4 linked regions of the Coturnix japonica genome follow. The protein of the gene in region 3 interacts with the protein of the main gene of each other region in a pairwise test. Links are inferred from orthologs where the notes say so. Each region holds a gene or a part of one and is shown on either strand. Other genes may lie near its edges.

Evidence for each region.
Region 1: the proteins of ZNF385C (region 3) and BOLL interact in a two-hybrid assay, tested with the Homo sapiens proteins (2 studies listed by BioGRID). The two-hybrid records come from large-scale screens. The link is inferred for Coturnix japonica from reciprocal best matches to the Homo sapiens genes ZNF385C and BOLL.
Region 2: the proteins of ZNF385C (region 3) and PSMA3 interact in a two-hybrid assay, tested with the Homo sapiens proteins (2 studies listed by BioGRID). The two-hybrid records come from large-scale screens. The link is inferred for Coturnix japonica from reciprocal best matches to the Homo sapiens genes ZNF385C and PSMA3.
Region 4: the proteins of ZNF385C (region 3) and THAP1 interact in a two-hybrid assay, tested with the Homo sapiens proteins (3 studies listed by BioGRID). The two-hybrid records come from large-scale screens. The link is inferred for Coturnix japonica from reciprocal best matches to the Homo sapiens genes ZNF385C and THAP1.

The regions. Positions count from the first base shown.
Region 1 is NC_029522.1:8,891,003-8,897,027, reverse strand, and holds part of BOLL (protein boule-like), read left to right. Parts: intron 1-275; coding exon 276-351; intron 352-3,688; coding exon 3,689-3,816; intron 3,817-4,803; coding exon 4,804-4,875; intron 4,876-5,832; coding exon 5,833-5,880; intron 5,881-6,025. UniProt on the Homo sapiens protein: Probable RNA-binding protein, which may be required during spermatogenesis. May act by binding to the 3'-UTR of mRNAs and regulating their translation.
Region 2 is NC_029520.1:50,257,238-50,262,182, forward strand, and holds part of PSMA3 (proteasome subunit alpha type-3), read right to left. Parts: intron 4,484-4,945; coding exon 4,411-4,483; intron 3,894-4,410; coding exon 3,828-3,893; intron 3,827-3,827; exon of another isoform or gene 3,346-3,826; intron 2,016-3,345; coding exon 1,969-2,015; intron 741-1,968; coding exon 673-740; intron 541-672; coding exon 476-540; intron 1-475. UniProt on the Homo sapiens protein: Component of the 20S core proteasome complex involved in the proteolytic degradation of most intracellular proteins. This complex plays numerous essential roles within the cell by associating with different regulatory particles.
Region 3 is NC_029542.1:4,426,518-4,433,208, forward strand, and holds the start of ZNF385C (zinc finger protein 385C), read right to left. Parts: upstream 3,593-6,691; 5' UTR 3,566-3,592; coding exon 3,436-3,565; intron 1-3,435.
Region 4 is NC_029547.1:47,538,983-47,545,498, forward strand, and holds the start of THAP1 (THAP domain-containing protein 1), read right to left. Parts: upstream 3,575-6,516; 5' UTR 3,534-3,574; coding exon 3,463-3,533; intron 3,273-3,462; coding exon 3,077-3,272; intron 162-3,076; coding exon 1-161. Other genes in the region: transcription factor jun-D-like, read left to right, coding at 4,536-5,807. UniProt on the Homo sapiens protein: DNA-binding transcription regulator that regulates endothelial cell proliferation and G1/S cell-cycle progression.

The sequences.
Region 1 (6,025 bases), on a different chromosome or scaffold from region 3:
GCAGAAGGGTAGAACAAACAAAAAACTGAGAATTAAAGGTAGCTGTTAGTCAGGAGGCTCTATGATGAGTAAGGAATACTTGAGATAAGTAATGGTGGCTTTTATGTATGTGTAGTCTAAGATCAGGTTAAAGAAGAAGCTAATGTGGTTCTTGTTTTGTCAATATGTGTTCTAAATAAGAAGCAGTGTCTCTGGTTTTTGTTGTTGTTTTAAATGCCTTGATCTATGTAAAAAAAACCTAATACTGAGTACTTTTTTTTTTTTTTAAATTCTAGGCTAAAAAACTTAATTACAAGGATAAGAAGTTGAATATTGGTCCTGCAATAAGAAAACAACAAACACGGATTCCCCGTATGTATATTCACTTGCACTTGTCTATTATATATGTCATTGCACATCTCATTTTTAACCAAGATGTGCCTGATCATGTGTTGTTTTAATGCTATAAAGAGAACACAGAATAAATGTGTACCAGTGGATAAATCCAGATTTGGCAAGTCCAGGATTGATCTTCAGAACTTTTTTCTCCTCCTTAGTGTATTGTTTGCTCTCTTGGGATGATGATTTATGTAGGAGCAAGGGGAATGGAATCTTATCATAGTTACATGGCAGAACCTCAGTTCTAAACACTGTCCTCACAAATTGTTCAGCAGACTTTCCTGGTTCTGTGTGTTATTACTAGTTAGTAGCAAAATCCCTCAGAACCATGGCATCTTGCTTTGTTCAGTAGAAACTATAATGAGCGGGTATTTGTTGTCTCCACTAAATTCTTAGGTTTCTGTCCTTTAAAATAAAGGCAGAGTTGCTAAAGGTTCCTTTTCTGGCAAAGAACTGCTTAAACTGAAAGCATACATGAGAGAACTATTGGTCAGGTGGCCAACTATTGGTTTGTTACTTTGGTCAAGTATGCTGTTAAGAAGTTCTGTGGGGATAATCGTTCAATTTTTTAGGCTTCCTCTTAGAGAATGTACCATCACCTTCTGCTAGGCACTGTTTAGTTTCCGTAATGTATTGCAAAAGGTGTAAACCTCTAACTTTCAGGATGAGAACTGCCAGCTTTTTTATGCCGGCTATTTTGTTATTCCTCAGTGATGTCTATAAAAATCAGAAGTAAAATGCATTACTTGAGAAGTGCAGAAGCAAATGAAGCTTATCTTTGTACTTCAGTGTTCATCTTACGGTACCTTTTGGAGGGGAGCGGCGGAACACACACTTTTGGACCTGTTCTGTTCTGTGGAATTTTAGTTTTAACTGTATAGTTTTCTTAGTTTTTGCTGTCAATTTATTAAGAGGTAGTTCATATGTACGCTACTACTGATGCTGCAGACATACCTTCACGTGAAAGGAGATTTGTACTTCTATATGCTTAGGTACGCCCCTCTCCCCCTTAAGTGTGTAGAGTAAGATTTGCCCAGGAGAGTGGAAATTCTTTGTTTCTTCTGTATTGTTTCTTTGCTTAGGAAATAATTGTGCAATCTTCGCTCAGCCATCATCAAGGTGTTACATGTTTGATTGTGGGTTTTGTTTGTTTCTGGTGGTTTTTTCTTGTTGCTTGATCTGTTTGCATTGCTTTGTTTCCCTTTTTGTCTTTGACTTGAAGATTCTCAAGTGCGTTGCTGCACTTGCATGGCTTCATTCTCCTGATGCTTGTGCCCGGTGTGCCTATAATCAGACAGTGTTAGAAGATACAGTTGGCATCCAGATACACATCCTGGGATCTAATTTCAATTCGTCTGCTGTCATGCTCAACCCACTAACCTTAGTCATGGAGTTAATTTGATCATTTGGAGGCCTGTGAAGCCATGAAAACTAGAGTCACAGTGTCACTGTAACTGTTTTAGTTAGCAGAATTTAAATGATTGTTCCTTTGATACTCTCATTTATCAGTCTTTTCCAGCCCAACTAACTGAGTTGCTGTCTTTCTCTACTGTTGATCAGAGCAATTTTCATCTTTGCTATTAACGCAGGACATTTTCTCTGAAGAGCTTTGACCATATTGGGATGGTTGGTATTCTTACAATTAAATCCATGCAAATCTGGCATAAGAATATATCATGTTCTAGTCCAGGCAGTGAGTTTGTCTTGGTTCAGTCAAGAGCAGTTACGTATACGGAATGCAAAGTGCATCCGTCATTTGTAAGTATCTAGTGAATCTAGATTTACTAGAACATGAATCTAGTTTGTATTTATCCTCCAGGATGGTCTCAAATACAGGTGTCTGATTTAAAATAGCCACAGATTATGAATGAAAATGCTTATGTACTTGCAGTACAGTTGTGATTGGATCTCGTAAGCTTCAGCTTAGCTCTGCCTCATCCAAGTTCTTCCATTTTTCCATTGCAGTGAGTTTGGGTTTTATAAAGAACCTTTTCTTCCAGTTTGTATGGTTTTCATTGTTCTATTTATTCATTCATTCATTTATTTATTTATTATTAATTATATATATATATATATAGATTATATATATATATATTTACTAACTGCTCTGTATTTGGCAAAGTGGATAGGATAGTTGATCAGGGAATTCGCTTGGTTTCTTCATTTGAGATAGCAAGAATGCTTTTCTAGAATGCTTACTGGAATTCAGGTAGTCTCTAATTTTTCTCACATCTGTTTAACTCTGCTAAGAGTCAACTTAGCATATGATTTTTCAATGGGTAATATTTCAGCTTTGATGTAAACAAGCATCCTCAAGTTTTTCAAGGAGTCAGTTGAACTCCTAGCATCCATGAAGGCAGTTTGAATCATAGCGAGGTCCTTTTTGGTCTCCACTTACCTTTGTGGCAATCCACTTGGCACGTACCTGTCCATAAAATGGCATTTCCTGATGCAGTTTTGCAAGGAAGCTGCAAAGGGATGATGCTCTCCATCTTGTGTTTTTCTTCATTTATTTGTTTTGCATGTTAAATGTGATTTCAGAATTTCTTTTGGTTACAGAATCATTTTTCCTTTATTTTTTTATTTCTTTTTTTTTTCCTTTGCATCGTGTATATTTGGAACTGAAACTTTTCTTTAACATTGTTCTTTCTACTTACCCACGAAACGCAGATAGGAACAGACTCCAGGTGATTCCAAAAGCAGTGATTGAGGAAAGCAGCCTCTACATAGGAATGGAAGCCTCCTTATTGAGCAGAGCTTACTGTCAATACCTGGTAGCTGTACAGTTGGAACTGTGCTTTGGGGTCAGAGCATTATAGCCTGTGCGGTAGCATTCCCATTGCTGACATCTGGATATCTGTTCTTACGTCAGGAAATGTGCCATCACACAGTTTTTGTGCTTTGAGAAATCGGGTTGCATTTTATAATGAAATCCTTCTGTTGTTTTTAGTGCTTGGATCCTGTTTCAGCTTAATATGAGTATGTGGAGGTTACCAATGAAAATCTCCCACAATGTGAAGTTACCTTTGGACATTTGAAGATTTAAAAAAAAATTATTTGCTGGTAATTGGAGTTGTCTGTGTTTAGTAATCAAAATGCATGTTATATTCCATACCCCTTCCCATCTACCCCAGCATCAGCCTGTGATTCTTTGTTTGAGATGGAGCTGAGGTGGCACGTTCTTTCCCATGTTCTTTCCTTTGAATGTTTTGCATTTCTGAAGATCAGAAATGATCTTTCCTTCCTCTTTATGACTTTTGCATTGGTCAATAAATACTGTTAAGTAACTCATCTTCAAAAATGATTTCAGGTTCTAATGTAATACAAGAAGGTGGTACAATGTACTTAACAACTTCCAGTGGATATCCTTATATTTACCATAATGGAGTGGCTTATTTTCATACTCCTGAAGTTGCTTCTGTTCAGCAGCCATGGCCAGTAAGTAATTGATTTTTCTGTATGTATGTTTTTCTGAAGTCCAAGATGAATACAGGGTTTCCAAGTCCCTTTTACTTCTGGTTTCTCCAGCTACACCTTATCTTTGATATTTAAGGGGTTTCTTTCTTGTATTCAGATTTAAAACACATTACTTAAGTTTATTGTTTTTCTGTGGAGGGATTTGCTTTGGTGTGACTGAATGGGACAGAATTCGTTCAGAATCAGTGTAGTCATTGCCCCAGAAGTTTTGTTACTGAGGATTCGTTGGTGCTTATGGTCCTTGGTTGGCTTCAGTTTTCATTGCTCCATGGGTGAGGTGTTCCTGGCTGCTGTGGCCACTGTGTTGAATATAAAAGAAGTTAATGCTGAAACTTAAGTTTTTATACTTAACCTTAAGTCCCATCCATACTCCTTTTTATTATTATTCCTGTCTATCCGGGAGTGCTTCTTATTTTAGGAGGAAGAATGCAGTAGATGAAATACTTGGCTTTAGTGGGTATGGAGAAATTGACTCCTTCCTTTCATTGATGTTTTTCTGACCCTACAAAATAGAAAATAAGTTTTCAGCTAGTTTAGTTCCTGGATCACTGCCCAGTCAGATGAATACTGTGGCTGGTGTAAGTAAAGACTTGGAAAATAGAAGAAAGGAATGGGTCTATGAGGGGGTAGGAATACCTCATTGATAATTTATATTGACTAAAATTGTTACAGGAATGTGTGTGCAGTCAGTATAATAGTGGGTGAGCTTATCCAATTTCAGAAGGCACTTAATACAATGATAGTAAGACATGCTTTTACTTCATCTGTAATGCAGGCTCCTTGCAAGTAGTGATCTTGAAAAATTCAAATGAAAGTTAAAATATGGTCAATCCATTTTTAAAAGGGTGGGGGACACAATTCAGCATATAGTACTTAATATTGGGTCTTAACAGGAGTGACAAATTATGAAATAGCTGCATTGACTTGTAACTTTTTTGTCTTTTTAAGTCACGCTCCGTTTCCAGTTCACCTATGATGGTAACGCAACCAGTTTATCAGCCTCCTACTTACCATTATCAGGTATCTGTTTGCAAATGAGTTCCAGAGCGGCAGGATTCTTTCCAGTCAGCTGTGCAGTTTTGTTTGCAGCACAATCTCAGTTCTGTTTATTCTTTGAAAATAAGAAAAAATTCTGTAAAACCAATTTCAATTTCATTGAAGACTTCCCCCCCACCCCCAATAGAATACAGTTTCTACCTTCCTATTTAATTGCGTGGAAATGGAGTAAATTGGTGTTTTCTTGGTTGCTAGAAAACTGGTTTAGTGCTGTTCTTAAGGATTTGTTTAGTTTTTCTAAGCCAGATTCCCACTCAGAGCAGTACTGGTTAGGCAGAGAATCTCCAACATTTGTCCAGTTCAATTTTACAAGTTTCCAACAAGGGAGATTACATATCCTGTCTGGGTAGCCTCTTCCAGTAGATGATCTTTCTCCAGGTGAAAGGCTTGGGAGCTTTTGTTTTGTATTGTTTTTATTCTTCTCCTTCTCTTTGAGAATTTTCCAAGTTCTAATACATGTTTGTCAACTCTTATGCTCTGAACACCTTTGAGTCAGACTTACTCATGTTCATACTCTCCCAGCATGTAGTAGTAGTCAGTAATAATTACATCTTGGCACCCTTATCCTTTGTAAGGCTTAGTGAAGCCGTTACAGTTGGCATCCTGAGATGTCAATTTTCCAGTCCTTTAACCATCATGACAGCCCACTGCTGAGCTTAGGTGATTTGTCACGTTAAGTGTATTGGATGTCTTTTAAGTAGTACTTAGATGCTTAATTATTCATTATTATTAAATGCCCAGCTGAGTGGCAGTAGACAAAATTCTTCTTCAATTAAGGGCGTATGAAAATCATGTTTGTTCCTTTAATAAGATTTAAATGCAGATTTGGGGTGTGTTTGGCTATCATATGTGAGGAAGGTGCATGTCTATGCATATGTTTATAATTATGTAATAATATCTTTCTTGTCTCCTTGAATTTAGGCACCAACGCAATGTCTTCCAGGTCAGTGGCAGTGGTCTGTTTCCCAGGTAAACACTGTTCATAGTTGTAGCATCGTACCCTTACTTTCCATCTAGTTTAAAGGTAGGGTGTGCTTATCAAATACTTTTGTCTGCAAATCAAAAGCAAAAATCAGTAATGACAGCACTGCTGAAATATATAGCTATGTTTTAT
Region 2 (4,945 bases), on a different chromosome or scaffold from region 3:
AAAAAAGAGTTTTGTTTTACTATTTTCTCTACATACACAAAGGCCGCTATTGAGCAGGCCTTGTTTCTACTGAAGAACTAAACTACTTAAGAACTTAAAACCTGGCACCACTACTGCTTTCAAAGCAAATGCTGGGGGAGCAGCTTTATCCAGCTGGTTAACTAAAATACCTGCTTTAAAGGTAACGCGACTTACTGCATTTCCCATCCACTTATGTAATGACTGAGGCATTAATAAAAGAAATGAGAGGTAGGGAAGCTTGATGCCATGCTTTTTAAATGTAAGAACTGTCTGTGGATTGCATGGAGGGAACTTCCCAATTCTCTCATCAGGAGACATCCTGGCTACAAGTGATTAATGTACCCATCCCTTTTCCAGTCATTATAGTGCTACAATCCTGCTCCTTACTTCATTCATTCTATTCCAGACTTGCCAAGAGCAACACTGAGATGACAGCAGTGATGTCAGACCTTACCTTGGCATATTTTTCTGCTTCTTCTCTTATGTCTTTGGGAACAATTTCATGTTTTCCATTGGTTACTGCAAACAAAAAAGAAGTACCTATTAGAATTCACACAGCACGGTGCGATAAGTAAAACACTGCTTCTGCATGTTCAATACAGAAAATGAGAAGCTTTCTCTACTGTTGACAGAAAGGTAGAAATGCATTACTTTCTCCAACCCAGCTGAGTTCCAACTCAAAAGCTTTATCCTTTACTTCATCATGAACGATGTAGATTCTGGAAAGAAAGGGAGAGGGTGGAGGTTAGAACAGATTTATTGACAGGCAAATTATAATTTCTTCCTTTCACACATCTCTTACTCTGTTGAAACACCATTTCCTACATGTAATAGAAGCTTCCCCTCCTGCTTTCTCTTCAACCTCTCCTTTGTGCTCATCCCATTTCAAGAGGAAAAGAGTCTATCAGGGCATATTGTGGAGTAAAGCATTACTAAAACAGTGTGTTGCATGATTACAGATAAGATGCAAGGTACCCACGTAGGTGAGATGCTGAGTAACCCAATACAGAACATCACCTTTACAATAAATGTTATTTAAGATTCCAGTACTGTAGAACCAAGGCTATGACATCATTGCCTGCTTCTGCTCAATCAGTCACAGTGTGGCAGGAGCTCCCTGCATTTCCCCTGTAAATCTTGTTTCATCTTATACTTGAAACTAAATCTAAACACAACTGCTAATACACAACCTGTACGTAGAGCTCTCCATCCCATCTGCTAAGCCTACAACAACTTACAGCCTTGTGCTTTGTTTGTGCAGTTTCAGAGTCGTTTTGAGGTCCTTGTTATGTTTCAGGAGCAGAGAGCCCACACATTCTTTCCTTTAGCAGCTAACATGATAGCCTCTGACACAGCCACATAAATAAACTCACATGCTGCAACACCATTGATGGAAACATTTATTACTTCTTTATAACCTCTAAGGAACAGCCATAAAAGGCTGGAAATTATTTCTGTAGCTGCATATTATTAGATTTGTGACAAGTGCAGAAGTATCCCTGTAAGCATTAAGTACTGGAAACAGCCGAAAGGATACTTGTATTTATTTGAAGAGACCATAGACTGGCTTGGGTTGGAAGGGACCTCAAGGACCTTGAAGCTCCAACCCCCACCACATGCAGGGCCACCAACCTCCACATTGATACCAGCCCAGGCTGCCCAGGGCCCCATCCAGCCTGGCCTTGAACACCTCCAGGGATGGACGGGGCATCCACAGCGTCTCTGGGCAGCTGTTCCAGCACCTCACCACTCTCACAGTAAAGAACTTCCCCCAGCCCATCTCACAAGACAGATCTTAATAGAACACCAGACTAGAATCAGCACCAGCACTCATCTACAAAAGTGAAACCTGGTACCTCATGTAAAGGGAACAGCTTCACTTTGAAACCATAACAAGCCCACAAGCACCTATTTTTGCTGAGCTGGAGAAACACTCTGCAGACTTACATTTTCGCAACCTCTTTTACAACGTCACGGCAAGTCATTTCCTTCATCTGCAGACAAAAAACATACAGCTTAGCAGAACATCCTGTTTTGCATTTGGCCAGCAAACGAGGGACTGTGATGTGCCTATTCTCCACAATGCATCTTTCACTCACTAAAACATACCTGATTATTGATTAGACCAGCATATTTTACACCGAGCTTAGGGTAGAGCTTATGAGATACATGTAGTTTTACCATCTCAGATTCTCAACCACTTTGCAAAGCCATCGTACAGAAGTTGGTTGAGAAGCTGCTGAAGGACAGCAGTTCTTTCTTCATGCTGAGTCTGACAGCACTTCCTGTGTGTGTGTAATGCACACACCCAAGTACACAGTGGGCCAAAGGAAAAGGAAACGGCCCTGCTTAGGTAGATGTGCTGTCACATTTGCATTCCAACAAGTTTCCTAAACAGAGACACTGTCCCAGCCCTTCCATTTGTGACTCAATCCGTAACGCAGTGCTGACTTCTATTTATAAATCTAATCTGCGTCACACACCTATGTGTATTTAAGCACATGGAGTCAATAGTGAAACAAGAAAACCCAAAGGTCTGTTACTGTCATGTGTGTTTACAAAACAAAGCTTTCATTTATCTTTTGTCATTATTCTTTTCCTGGCCCAATCTTCCCCAAATAGGAAATACTGTAATTGTAATTAACTCCTGTAATTAACTCCCCATTATGTCCATATAAAAAAAGTCATAAATATGATCTGAAAATAACATGAGAAGCACTGCAGATGAACAGATTCAAGCAGGCCCCATGTGACAGAAGATACCAAATGTTTGCATAAGATGCAACAGATGTGATCAATGCAGTGCACCCCACCTGCAGTATAAGCTGCGTGTGCAGATCTCACGTACTGCATCCCCTCCCACATGCAGCACCTGCATTGCAGTACCTGCCAGACAGGTTTCAAGGTTATGATGATATTCTCACCTCTTTCTTTCCATCTACAGTCATCTTTCACAGGACAGATCCGCAGCTAATAGGATCATAGAATCAGCATGGAATCATAGAACAGCCCAGGTTGCAAAGGCCCACAGTGCTCACCCAGCTCCAACCCCCTGCTGTGTGCAGGGTCACCAACCAGCAGCCCAGGCTGCCCAGAGCCACATCCAGCCTGGCCTTGAATGCCTGCAGGGATGGGGCATCCACAGCCTCCTTAGGAAACCTGTTCCAGTGCGTCACCACCCTCTGGGGGAAAAACTTCCCCCAGTATCCAACCTAAACCTCCCCTGTCTCAGTTTAAAACCACTCCCCTTCATCTTATCACTATCCACCCCACCAAAGCGTTTGCATTTGTCTTCTTCCCATTTATGTTTTGTCATTCAATCAGGAAATCAGCTGAACAAAATCAGCTCTGCCCTGGAACCTGTCCAGCCCACCGTTACCAAGAAGCATCAGCACACAAGACCGCACTTGCTTCATGCTGCTCTGACCACATCACACTGAAAGCATTCTGCAAACAAGCCATGACAGATCAGCACAGCTGTGCTGTATGGCACACCCCTGTTCTCATCTACTGAACTTCACAGGCCCTACCATGAAGTTCAAGGAATACAAACACTGCAGCTCTACAAAAACAATTAGGCTGGTAACCAAAGAAGTGTATGTTTATGCTTCTCCTTTTAAAACTGTGTGCTCACTATGGACTTCCCATTGCCCAGGGTCAAGATGCCAGAAACACTGCTCCTATAGAGGCTAAGACAACGTATTAGGAAATACTTCTGCTTCTCTTGTACTTTATGAATTTAAGGCATCTAAAAAGGCAGAAATAATCCATCCTGAAAGCAACACAATAAAAGTGAAACAACCTACCTGAAGCTTTTCAATCTCTGTTTTTGCAGCCTGCCTGGCTTTACCGATGGCACAGCCCCAATAACCCTAAACAACAAAGAAAAGTGTAAGGTTAATGAAATACTACATCCACCACATACCTAACGACTCCTTCACTCCTGTAACAAGGCAGATACACAGCAAATGTTGGCACTGTTCTCTCTCAGGTGAGGTTCACAAGTTATTGGGTTAAGCACTGCCACCCTTGACAGAGCAATGCTAAGTAGATCCTCTGGGCACACACACACCTGCTCTGTTTGTCGCATAGGATCTTTTACTATAATTAAAGTAGAATTAGAAAAGACCACCACCAAAGCCCACCTAGCAGCCTCTGCACCTCAGTGTTTTGTGAGCGGAGTTATCACTGCAGCACTCAACCCTGCGGCAATGGATGGGACTCCTCATTGCATACAGGTGGAATGAACTCCCACATTTCTGAGAGCTTTAAAAACAGGCTTTATGGAAGCGGTGCTGCTTCTAAGAACTGCACGCCACGTTACTGATGTCCAGATTAGAAACCTCTAAAAGAGCAACTTAAAAGTAACAGTATTTCTGAAAGACTCACGTATGAAACTCCTGACGGGTCGATCATGTACAGTTGTGCGCCGTCATCGTCATCATAGGACCCCAACATGAAACTGGGTGAGAAAAAGCAAAATCAAACAGTCATTCTGCCAACCCACATACAGCAATGACAGCTAAATCAAGTCAGGGCTCCCCACTACCCTATTACACTCTGTAAGCAGTTTGTCTGAAGGCTCAGTGTTATCGTGACCCCAAAGCACCTGCAATTGACCAGAAATGTTTTACTTAACTATAACTACAGACCTCAGTTTGTTAGTTCCCTGGTAACCACAGCTGCATGGTAGTTATTACCTATTCTTTAGGGGATGATCACAAAGTTCTGCTTTCAAAATGGACACAGATTCAACATCAACTCCTCAGCTTTAAGCCTGATGGACAGGCATGCAGGCCATACACAGCCTGGTTTGCTCTGATGCAATAAAACAAAGGACAGGGGAAACTCTTCCCACTTCTTGGTTTATCGGTACCAAATGTGAAAAATGAGCTAAGACATAAACAGCTCCAGCCCTTCTGAA
Region 3 (6,691 bases):
TCAAAAGAAACTCCAGCCGTAGAGCACGCAGTGCATCTCCTGGGCTGAGCCGCTTCCAGCAGTTCAAACGAATGCAAAGCAGCGGCGCTCCCGACCAAAACAAACAGGGCTGTGTGCGCCTTCCTGCTCCCAACGCTTCTCCGGGAGGGGGAACGGATGGCGAACACCAACAGAAAAAGTGACACATCAAATAAAAACACAAATAAAAGAGGTCTTGATTCAGCAGGAGCCTCACGGATCGCAGCCCCACCTGCCCTCGGGTTGTTCCCTTCCCAAGCAGCAAACAACCTCCCTGCTCAGCGCTGCTCCCGGAGCGCAGCACGAGGTCACGGCACAGGGAGCGCCGCAGCAGCTCCTGCTCAGCGCAAGGAGGAGCAGACGGGGAGAACCACCAGGGCCGCTTCCCCTCTGGGGGTCGTTCATCGCCGCCCCGTGGGCTGGGAGCAGGCGGGGGCAGCCCCTGGAGGGCCACGCAGGGAGGACAGCGAATCCCATCCTCTGCACCACCTGCGGTGCCCCGACCCGCCCCACAAGACTTTGGGGTTTTGAACACACTGACTCACAGCTGCCCTTCCCATCTCCCTTTTCCTTTCCATCTCTGTGACCTGCAGGTCAACCGAGGAGAGAGCAGAGGATGGTTCCAGTGATGGATGAGGGAGCATGAAGCTTCCATTGCCCCGCTCACACAGCTACAGCTCTATCAAAGGGCAGCACCCACAAGAAACAGCAGCAGAGTGGGGCCGTGTGGGACCAGTGCTCCCAGTGCTGTGCCCTCACTGCCACTCAACTAAAGCTCTGCTGTAGCAGTTCAAGCAGACAGGGGGTCCTCTGCCCCCAAACCCTTCCTCAGTTGCCACTGCTGCCAGGTCAACAGCCCCACACTTCTCATCCTCTCAGAGACTCAGAACAAAACCCCTAAAAGTCCCACTGTTCTCTGCCACACTTCCAAAGGAGCATCATGCTGTGCTCTGCATTGCTCATCCTGGTTTAAAGGCAGTGAAGGGCCCAAAGAGCAGTGACTGCAGGAACCCCCCCTGCTCCCCATGACAGTGTGTACCCCCCACACCTGAACCTCCTCCAGACCTCCCCGAGCTCCATGCAGACAGAGCAGCTCCTGTCTCCAGGCAGATACAGGCACAGATTAGGGCTCAACCTCAAACCATTTCCCTTGCAATTTCCAAGCGATCTTTCTTATCAACTAATTAAAAAATTTCCATAGTGAGGCTGGAGAAAATCATGACTTGGGAACGTTCCCATTTCAAAACAGCCCTGAGCCGTGTGCAGTGCAGTGTGGAGCTGGGCCCCCTGGGCAGCACTAACCCTATTGCAGATGGGGCCCATGGTCGCTGGGCTCAGGGGGTGCAGCTCCCCACCAGGACTGCTGTTACAATCATGGTTTGAGCTGTGTGGGCATCCAGGAACCCCAGCACATCACTGCAGCCACAGCTCACTCCTGAGCTCCCCACAGCTCCCTAAATGCACAGGTCCATATTTACAACTTGCAGGTAAATTACTGTGGCTCCAATCAGGAGTGGGCACTTGTTACCACGCAGCCACAGACCAACTTTCCTCGAGATCACAGATATAATTCTTGACAGGGGCTTCTTGACACATAAATAATGACACTCTTTTGGAGGCAATCTGAGAGCATCCAGCTAAGAAACAGCCTCTGAACATCACAATATTGTTTCTGCATTGACAAACGGAGCCTCCTGGGCTTCATTACTCCACTCCAGGCGCACGCTTTTGCATTTTTCTTTCCTCTGGGAGCAACGAAGGGCAGAACCACAGGCTGCGCACTCAGAACATTCCGCCACAGCTCCCGAATGGGCTGAGATATTGGGATGAGGGTTCAGCAGCAGCCAGAGCTGAGAGCAGCTCCCACCCCTCTCCTTCACACCAGCCACACTCTGCAGATCACACTGTGCTTCCAGGACCTGTCTGCTTCCCACCCTGCAAACTCCATAGCAGAAAGTGACTCGATTAACTTTTCCAGTGCTCTGCTGAGAGCATCCGTACACAGATCCCCATTTATTTGATACCAGCTCCACGTCACACTCCTGGAAGCGCACAGATCTCCCCAGTGATCTCCCAGTAGATCAGCACAGGGCACAGGCTCTTTTTTCAAAGCAAAGCACCATCCAAGCAGACACCAAAGCTGGGGAGCACATCACACAGAACACGGTGCAAGAGCTGAGCTCGGGCACTGAGGGCACAGCGCAGCACCCCAAGAGCTCAGAGCAGAGCTTTGCACATTTGCACGCAGGATTATATGAGCCGGTTTTATAAATGCATGCAGAGGATTACGGAACAAGGAAAAAATCCCACAGCACACATTATTGCCAGCCTGATTCTCAACTCTACATATGGCGAGAGTTTATTGTCAGCAGAGTTCCACCAGCTGAGCGGGGTGGCTCCTCTCTCACCCATACAGAGCCACAGAAAAACACCGGCAGAAGCAGCAGCTGCCGCCCAGCAGGGCAGGTTGTGGATGCACCGTCCCACCCCATCCTGGCGTGCGGGGTTTGCTCCCAGCCCTGCCCAGTGCAGCACAACTTGGAGCGCATCCCAGCGACAGCTCCGTGCCGCTTCGGGCTTATAGCAGAGCACAGCGCTGAAGGCTGAGGGCGGGCGCAGTCTGCCGGACGAGGAGCGTCCCAGCTCCCATCCCACCCCACTGCCCTCCCGGCCCGTTGCTCATTGACAAAAAGCACATTGTGGGCCGTCAGGAAAAGTCCTTTGCTTTAAAAGCCGAGTACCCAATGAGCAGCCCTGTGGCGAACCGCGGCTCTGAGCTCAGCACCGTCCCCGCCGCGCTCCATCACAGCCAGCACCGCGAGCAGCGGCGCCGCTTGTGCCCGGCTGTGCCACCCGGGGACGGGCACAGACGGGTGCCCGCAGCCGCCGTACAGGCCACGCCATCCCCGAAGGCTCACGGCCAGCCCGGCACGCAGCCCGCAGGCCGAGCTGCTGCCCACGGTCACAGCCCCGCGTGGGCCGCACGCTGTGTGCCCGATGGCCGCTGGGCACACACAGGGACCCCGTGTCCGCGGGACGCTTCGCACCCCGCCGGTAACGGACCCGCGTTGAGCCGACAGCAGCACGAGGAGAAGGGCTGCAGCCAGGGCTCCTGCCGGGCTCCTCGGAACAAGTTTCCCTCCCGACCCAACGCCTTCCGATTGGGGCAGAGGAGCTGAGGTTGTGTCCCGGCTCTGCCGCCCCGAGGCACGGCGCTGCCCGCTGCCGGGGGAACGGCCGGGATGGAGAGGGGCAGCGGAGCGGAGCATTGCGGCACGGGCACTGCGCTGACCCCGGCACGAATCCAGCTCGGCTCCTCGGAGCCTCCCGGCGCATCCCCCTCCTCCCACAACTTCGCTCTGGCCGCAGCTGTCCCGACCCCGCTCCGGATCGCGGCCCCCGCACCGCCCGCCCTACCTGCCCAGCCGTCCGCCTCCGCCGCCGTTTGCAGCATCCTCCCGCCGGCTGCTCGCTCCCGGCTGGGCGAGCGCGCTCCCGGAGGAGGAGGAGGAAGAGAGGAGGAGGAGGAGGAGGAGGAAGGGGGCATGAAGGCAGCGCGCGCACCGCCGCGGTCCCGTCCCCCTGCTCCCCCCCAGCGGCACCGCGTGCATCCCAGGGCCGCGTCCCGCATGGTCCGGGCACCCCTCGGTCCCGGGGTACCCATGGAACCGAGCCCCCCACCCGGCTCTGCTGCTGCACATCACCCCCAAAGGATTGGGGTCGGTGGTTGCCGGAGTGGACACACTGAGCAGGGTCAGCAGAGGGCACCCAGGGCTGGGGACACCAGCACCACGCACCTAAGTCTCAGTTTTGCCTCTGAGCTTTCCCCATCACCCCCAAGAAAAGGCTCCCACATCCCGTAGGTCCGAGCATCAGCAGAGAGCTCAGCCCCACACAAAATTAACGCCCTGGGAGCAGCAGAGGTGACATCAGGGGACTCTGTGTGAGCTGTGGTTCTGCTGGTGGCTCCGTCCTGGAGCTTGGGGACATCACTGTGCATCACTCAGGGTGCACAGGGGGGCTCAGCTGCTCATGGAGCACAAAGTGGGGCTGCTCCTCAGCCATCTCTGCTGGAGTGCAAGGCACCTGCAAGGCAAAGGCTGCTGCTCTGCCGACATCCAGCTGCCTCATGCTAAGATCAACATCCTTTTGAGTGTGAAAGCACATGTTTTCCTATCACTGTTCCTGTTATTAATATTTTAGCAGCTCCCAGAACCTTTAAGCGGGGCTGCGCGGTGCTGACACGAGAGAGTGGATTTTAGAAAGCCCCACTGCCCACCCCAAGGAATATTCTGTCTAGACACGTTATGTAACCACGTTTTGCCCTCCTCCAGGACATCACACAGAGGATCTCAAAGCACTTCACAAACTGCTAATTAAGCTCTGCAGACCGGGTGAGAGGGAATTGCTCTGCCCTGCCGGGCTCCCCAGCCAAGAGCACTCTGCTCCGAGCAGACACACTCAGGGACTCTCATCTCCAGCAGCTCTCACCCACACGCTGCTTTGCCATAAAAGCAGAACCAGTGCCAGGATGGAAATGTCCGATCGGCCCCAGAGCTGCTGGCAGAGGGACTGAGGACTTTCAGGCTCTGAGCTCTGCTGAACACACAGAGCCCAGCGGGCACCCACAGGGCCACCTCAGCCCTGCAAGCTGCAACCCACGGGCACAGAGGCAGAGCCCACAGCAGCAATTTCTGGGCCTCAGACATCAGACTGCACGCTGGTGGCCCAGCAAGGCTCAGTTTTGCTTGGTCAGTCCAAGGTTCCCTTCTTGGCCACCACCTGGGCTGGAAGAGCTGAGCAGTGCCACTATCTCTCAGTATTTTGATTTCTAAGAATCCTTTCTCCAAAGCTTACTGCATATTTTTGCCACCCCATCTGATTTTTACAATGTTGGGTATTTTTTCCCTTCCTATAAATAATTACAGGCCCTCTAATGGCTCTCAAACCTTGCATTACCTTCACTGTCAAGAACTTGACAATTAACAGCATAGCCATCCTCTCCAAGGAGCACACAGGGCTGCAGCTCCAGCCCACTTTCTTCACTCACATTAACCCTCACAATCTCTTACTGCCCCTCCCCAGCACAAACACACACAGCTGGTCATACCCCCCACCTTAACATCAGGACTGGAGATTATGAACTCACCTGCAGCTGGGGAAGGCCTTGTTCCAAGGCAGAAGATCAGGTGGCACCAATTACTCCTAATGGGGCACAGATTTGCACCAGCTGAAGTTTTGAGTGGGGTTCTGAGGGTGCTGCTCTTTTCCATCAGACAAATGGGTTTTGCTGATTAAATTCTTCACACAAATGTTTTCACCTCACAATCTGTCCTACTTCCTGCACAGTGCTGCCCAGCAGCATCTCATTTCTACCCAAGTGGCTCAGAGCAAACCCCAACTGATGGCACCAAAGCTTGTTTTCCCATAGAGAAGCATGGCACAAAGAGAAAGGGCAAAGCAACACAGTCAGCACATACAGCCCATGGGGACACAGTGCAGCCAGCAGGGATGGGGAGCCCCACATAGACCCCACACAGCCATTGCCCTGGGAGGAATCAGTCCCAGCTCCACTTTCCAGGAAGCCCCCCTGGCTCCTCCGTGGCCGTGCTGAGCTGTGCCAAGCTGCTCCAGCAGCTGCCACGGCCATTCAGCAGCTGTTAAGCCTATAATTGCTCCTTGAGTCATAAATATACTTTTTTTCTTTGGTGAGAGCAGTGCTGTCAGGGAATTAAAACCTTTGCAAAAAGCCCGTAAAGATTTCATAAATGTTTCAAATCCAGATCGATGTGTCTTCATGGCTGGGAGAAGGGGGAGGCAATGGGGAGACGGGGCAGGAGGAACAACTCCAGCCATCGTGGGTTAAAAGCATCTTTACAGGGTCCATGGGGACACAGCTGGGGGGCATCGTGGTGGAGATACAGGCAGGAGGACAGGAGCTGCTCCACCAGAACTTGGGAAGGCAGCACATCAGGATGGGGTGTGCACAGTGCCCCAGGGCCCCACATCCATCCCTGTACCCCAATTCCATCCCTGTGTGCACTACATCCTGCTGCTGGGAAAGCCACTGGCACACAAGGCAACGCATGGCATTGCATGGCAATGCACAGCAGTTGCTCTTCCCTTCCCCCCGTCACTTTTAATTAAAACCTACAAAAGACAAGATAACCAGCCCTGCTGCATAATTGCAGGGAGTAAATTTTATTGTATAGAAAAGCAGTTTAAATTTTTAATAGACTTATATTTAAGGAAGAGCAACACTTTGAAGGGATCTGCGAGCCTGGGTGGCATTACCAAAGGCGAGGAGAGGAAGAAAGATGGGTTTATTACATGTGCCAAACAGAACTGTTATTTTAGGGGAGTTTTGTGCTTCTTCCTAATGAGAGATGGATCACATCGGCTTCATTTGCTGTAGGAGGAAAATTAAACCCAAACTGCTCTGAGGCCCAGCCCCTGGCTCTCAGCTCCCAGCCACGCTGCAGAGCTCACGGGCATTCCAGAGGTGGGATTTGATGTCTACATTAATTATAAATAAATTATCTACACTTAATGTTTAAATGAAATTCCAGACCAAGCTTTCTGCTTAGAAAAGCATCAGCACAGAAATGTTGATGTGTGTGTGGGAGTTGGGCTGCTGACCCCCAGCCAGGCTGAGCAGGGCAGAGGTGCTGCT
Region 4 (6,516 bases), on a different chromosome or scaffold from region 3:
ACGAATCTAGCATCTATCTGAGATAAATGAAAAGAAGGAGCTGATGGAGACGGTGGTAGCGTGGGAGCTGCAGGTGGCGGCGGTGGCGGTGGAGGTGGTGGAGGTGGCGGTGGTGGAGGTGGTGGAAGCGGATCTTCTGGCTGCTCTGAAAATTCTTCAGGCTGAAACAAACCAAAAAAAGTACATTTGTAAGCATAGCATTTTTGCAACACAACTCCATTAGCACGGGCAACTACGGTATAAACAACTAGGACTTAAAAAAAAACAATTAAAAAATACCCACCACATGTTTCAAAGCCTCAGTTTTCAAAACTGGCTCATTTAGCCTGTTTTCTAAACCAAAAGTATTTTAATCAACTTTGTTTCCACTCTTTTGAAACTCAAATCCTTGATGTCTAGAACAAATCTGAAACTGAAGAGCCCAGAAGTCATTCTCACTTTTGAGGACACGTGAAATAGATATCCAGGATTAGATGAGGATCCTGGATGCAGTCCTGTGAAAAGAGCTCAGCAGACCCGGTAGCTCATCAAGTCCATCCCATTCCCTCTTGTCCCTCTTTCTTTCTACTGCATCTCACCACATACACTTTGAACTCATCAGCTAACCTAACCAGGAGCACAGCAGAACTGGAGAATCCCCTGCTATGACAAAATAAGAACCATTTCACTAAGGGAGATGGACAAGCTGGCAGAGCAGAGAAAGTAGACACAGGAAGATCTGGCTCTTCACAACTAGGACTGACCATCACATTGTTTTGGGATCGCAGCAGAAGGGTTTGGTGATGTGATGAGCCAAAATAAACAGCTCTCCCAGCTCTGTTATGAATCCTTCCCTAAATACAGGATGTTGCTAAGATGACAGAAAGCTATTCACACTTCCACCATCGCTGCAATAAAGTTCTGTCCTGCATTAAAGTCAAAGCCATGCAGTGAGAGCTGTCATATGGAAGGAGTAAGAAAATAGGACTGGGTGGCTGGCAGATGGGATAGAGCAGAACACTAAGCGAGCTCATTCCCACATCATACTGCAGGCTTCACCATACTGCTCCAGATAGGTTCAGACACTTGCACGGTTCAGAACAATGCATACCTGTCATCACTTGGGAGGAGGTCAAAGAGAATTCTGATTATTCTGCCCCAGAGGAACATACTTTATTCAGAAATGCACACATAATGTATACTACCCGTTTAAAAAAAAAAAAACAAAAAAAAAACCAAAAAAAACCCAAAAGCCTAAGAATGTCTCAGTGAAAGAGACACTGAAACCGATTTTTTAATTCCCTGTCCCCAACATTATTACTACAAATAAAAGCATGAAGATGATCGCATCTTCAATTTTAACAGCCACCAACTGTCCCCTCTTGAGACTGGAAGATCACATTATTAAGCTTCTTGCCTTAACATAAAGAACAAGTCAACAGTCAGATTGGGAAGTACAGATGTCATCCTTGTACAAACTACATTAGGCACAGGAACTGAGAACACAGTTCCACTTCTGGTACTGAGGGGAAGTTTCACATTGCTCAGGTATTACTGATCACTTTAAAGTACAAAACCAGCCCACTGCCTGTGTCAGTTCTCAGTTATAAGAAGTGGATGCTCCAGGTGTGTCCATCTAAATCACATACCAATATTCTAAAATGTCTGACCTACAGCTTTCAAACTTTTCAGCTAAGATGACAAACCAAAGACATAATGTGCAGAGAGAATTCTGCCCATGTTAGAAGCACGAGCAAAAATGGCATTGTTGCCAGACAGCTGCATTCAGACAGAGGCATGTATTCAAGAGCTACGCAGCACATGCTGTGTTACTGCTGTCACTGTGTGTCACAGAGAGCTCATCGTTCATACTGCTCACACGTCACAAGTGAGTTCTTATTCCTTCTTACATCCAGTAAATGGTTGTCAGACATAGCTAAAAAAGTATTTCAAGAATTATGATGCAAAAAATGCTGTATCTCAAAATCAGTATGAATTTAAAAAAAATGCTGTCCTTATTCACTACTATTCAATGTCTTGAAGATACACTGAAAGCTGCTGTGACATAAATAGTAGCACCACCAACTCCTTTTCCATAAGGAGCCACTGTTCTGTGCACTCATAAAGCCAGGTACTGCAATGAATGAGAGAATGTGGCTCAGAACTACTGCATTGATGTCAATATTAAATACCTTCAGCTTTCACACTGCAATAAGTTTTGCAAACAATTTTAAGTGACATAGGAAATATGTTGCTAAGATTGTGGGGAACCGTCATCAAACAGATCTTAGCACAAAAAGCAGACCTGAAAATGGTCCACATTTCACTTTATACCTTGTGCTATGTATGGTCTCTTGCCTATTATTTCCACTTTTCATTTTCTAGATGTTCCTTCTTTATTTCTGCATTAAATCGAACATTGTATACTGTGTGGAAAAATACAGATGATGCCCTGAGCATGAGAAAGGGTTTATGTTAGCTCTGGAACACAAGTAAACTGCCTAAATATGTTCAATATTCAACAGACAGGCACTAGTTTTATATATTGTCAGTGGTGGCCAACACATACTCTGGAAGATCAAGAAAAGTGGCTAGCAGATGGTGCTCTGAATTATAACACAATTTTGCAGTTAATGCTATTTTGTAGGAGGCTGGACTTTTTGGGTTCTTTCACAGGGGCATCTGGATAGTCCTACCTGTAGCCATGACTTAATAGCTCTGGACCTGGCTAACTAGAACAAGACACCTGATGTGAAGCTATAACATTATGCTGATGATTTAATACTAGCCTCTGCAACTCTATCTGCAATAAAGAACACAGCAAGCACTGTCTTCTGATTTACAGGAGAAAGAATGGGCCATCAGTCCTGAAAAGTCCCAGGGCCTTGTATTATCTGTCATATTTTTGGGATGGTCTGATTGTGAACAATCAAAGCCCTACCCAGTGCAGTTAACACCCAGATACAAATGTCAGCCTGCAGTTGTTACAACAGGACAGCACCAGTAACACAACTGCAGTGATGACAAATGGCCTTAATGACAGGAGAAGCTGCACAGTGCATTTCGGCACCTGGGGCTGTGAGCAGTGTGCGCTTACCTTTTCACTGGGCTCAGTGTAACAGAATATAGTGGGCACAGCATTTTCTTTCAGCAGCTTGTTGTTGCACTCCCGCTTGAAGCAGTCGGGCGTGAAGTGCTCGGAGCAGATGCTGCTGTACTTGGTGGGTTTGAAGTTTTTCCTTTTCACCGCCGCCTCCCATTTCTTGCACAGGTCAGGCCTGGTCAAAGGAAACCTGACAACAACAGCTATTTTCAGCGTTTCTCAAACTCTTTATTCACGCCGGGCCCACCATCCCAGCCCCTCTCCCGCCGCCCAGCGCCCCCTTGCGTCGGGAGGTCGCACACCCGCGGCCCTGTCCCCGCCCTGGCGCCCTGCCCGCCCCGCCCCGCCCCGCCCCACCCCGTCCCGCCGCCCGCGCTCACTTGTGGAAGGAGATGGGCTTCTCTTTGTCGTATCGGTTCCGGCAGCGGTAGGCAGAACACGACTGCACCATCCCGCCGGCCCCGCGGCCGCCGCCGCCCAGCGGCGCGAGGAGGGGCTCCCAGGTGCCGTCCGCTCACCGTGGGGCCGCCATCGTGCCCCGTCCCCCCCCGCCGGTGACCCTCCGAGAGGGACGGCAACGGGACGCGGCCTCTCCCAACTCCAAGATGGCGGCACCAGCTTCAGAGCAACTCTCGCGGTGCTACGGCGCGCCGCCCTTGCCCATTGGTGGGTCCTCTCATGGGGGGCGGGGCCTCGGGAAGCAGATCGTCCAATCGGAGCGGCGCTCTGCCTTGCTCCCGCCCCTCGCTCCGGAACTACCTCAGGGGCAGCTGCGGCGCGGCGGCAGAGCGCCCCCAGGGCGGGATGGGGTGCGGGTGTGTGTGGGCTGCTGGGCCCTGCTGAGGTGTTAGGGTGAGCTAACAATACACCGACGCGATGGAGTACAAAAAGTTAACGCGGAGTGCGCTCCGCCGTACCATTCCCTGTATTACACCAGCGACTAACAGCAGCGGGCCGTTCCCCCGGAGCGCCCCATGTCCCGATCTCGCTGTCCCGTGCGGGGCGGGCAGCGGGCGCTGGTGTCGGGAGCAGGGGTGCGGGCAGCGCCCTATGGCGCACCCACAGCGGGAGCAAAGGGCAGGAGCCGCGCGAAGCAGCTCCAGGATGGGGTCCGGAACCCCTCAGAGACACAGGATGGAGAGAAGGGCAATAAGCCGGTCTATAAGCGAGCGCCGAATTCGGAGCGCGGCCCCTCGCGGAGCCCCGCGCAGCCCCTCTGAGCCGGGGGCCGGCGGCGGGGAGCTCGGGGGAGGCGGCGGCGTTGGGGCGGGCAGACGGCGGGACCGGGGCGGGGCGTGGGGCCGGTGGCGCCGGGAGGCGGCTCAGTCCCCGCTGAGAGCCGAGGGTTGCGGGCCCCCGCCGAACGCAGCCGCGCCGCGACACACAGCCGCCGCCGCCGCAGGGCGGGCACCGGGGAGCGCCGCGCCGCGCCGCGCCCCGGCCGGCCGGCAGCATGAGCGGCGGGCGGAGCGGGAGAGCCGCCGTGAAGATGGAGGCGCCGTTCTACCCCGAGGAAGGGCTGGAGCTGCTGCCCGACTTCGTGCCGCTGCCGGGTTTCGCCGCCACCGCCACCGCAGGACCCGGCGCCGAGGCGGCGGCGGGCCCGAAGCTACTGCTGGGAGCCGGGAAGAAGCGCGACCTGCCGCCCGCCGCCCCCTCGCCGCTGCCCGGGCCCTTCGCCCTGCGCCCGCCCGGCAGCGCCCGCGGCAGCGCGGCCGCCCTGCGCCTGCTGCCGCCCTCCGCCGCTCCCCCGCCGCCCCCGGGCTCGGCGCAGGGCTCGGCGGGGGCCGGCGCCGGGGCGGCGGCGAACCGCGGCGGACCGGAGGCCGCGCTGGGCTCGGCGGCGGAGCTGCCGTTGCTGAAGCTGCCGCCGGCCGCCGACCTGGAGCAGCTGCTCATCCAGGGCGGCGCGGGGCTGGGGCCCGGCAGCCCGGGACCGGCGGCGGCCGGGGGAGCCGGCGGGCCGGCGGCGGCGGGAACGTTCCTGTACCGACAGCCGGTGACGCAGGAGCAGGAGGGCTTCGCCGACGGCTTCGTTAAGGCCCTGGCCGACCTGCACAAGCAGAACCAGCTGCTGAGCGCGCCGCCGCTCTCCCCGCCGGGGCCCTGCTGCCCGGCCCGCCCCGGGGCCGCCGCCGAGCCGCCCGCCGTCTACACCAACCTGAGCGGCTTCACCCCCGCGGGGCCGCTCAGCCCCTCGGGCAGCGCCTATCCCGCCGCCTCCGCGCCGCCGCCGCCCCCTCCTCCTCCGCCGCCGCCGGGGCTGCCGTTCGGGCCGGCGGGGCTGGGCGCGGGGCGGCTGCCGGCACCGCGGGCCCTGGAGGAGCCGCAGACTGTGCCCGACGTGCCGCCCGCCGCCAGCGGGGAGGGAGGAGGCAGCGCCCCGACGCCGCCGTCGCTGTCGCCGCTGGACGCGGAGAGCCAGGAGCGCCTGAAGGCGGAGCGCAAGCGGCTTCGGAACCGCATCGCGGCCTCCAAGTGCCGCCGGAGGAAGCTGGAGCGGATCGCCCGGCTGGAGGAGAAGGTGAAGGCGCTGAAGGGGCAGAACGCCGAGCTGGCCGCCACCGCCAACCTGCTGCGCGCACAGGTCACTCAGCTGCAGGGCCGCGTCCGCAGCCACCTCTCCTCCGGCTGCCACATCAACGCCGCCGCTCCCTCCGGGCCGCCGCCCCGCGAGCCGCCCCCGGAGGCCGCCGCCACCGCGCCCGAGGCCGGCGCCTGCTGAGGAGTGGCCGAGGGAGCGGGAGACACGGAGCGGGGCCGCCGTGCTGCGCTGTGCTGTGCTGTGCTGGGCCGCGCCCGTTGATTTCCGCGCTGTGCCGCTGTGCGAGCCGGGGCTGTGCGCCGGGCCGAGTGCGCCAGGCATGTGGAGGTGTCGGAGGTTAAGGTAACTCCTGTTTACAGAAAGACTGAACTTTACTTTCACGTGGGGATAAAAAAATAATATATATATATATATATATGTTTCCTAACGCGCCGTACTGGAGTGTATAGCAATCGATAAGCTTCTCAGAGTTTGGAGAAAAAGGAAAACAGGAAAAAAAAAAAAAAAAAAAAGGCCAGAATTGTGCCCTTTGGAAGAGATGTGTGTGTACATAGATATATTTAAAGCATAATATGGCTCTGTATATTTTCTTGGCATTGATAAAGAATTTTTTTTTGTTTTTTAACTACTGTCTTTCTCTAGAGCTTTAATTTGCCTTTGAGAGCTCAGTCATCCAGGTGGGTGCTCGCACACTGAGACTGAACCTGAAGGAGAGCAGTGTTAAGTCCGAAGCAGGACAAGACACATTGCCGGCTCAGCCGTAGGAAAGGACGTTTCTCAGCTCTTAGCTCTGTATTTCTTGTGCCAGTGCGAATCTGGGGCATTGATGGTTATTTATTGAAACTTGAACACTTTTGGATGTTGCCTAGACCTTATTTTTATAGATAAC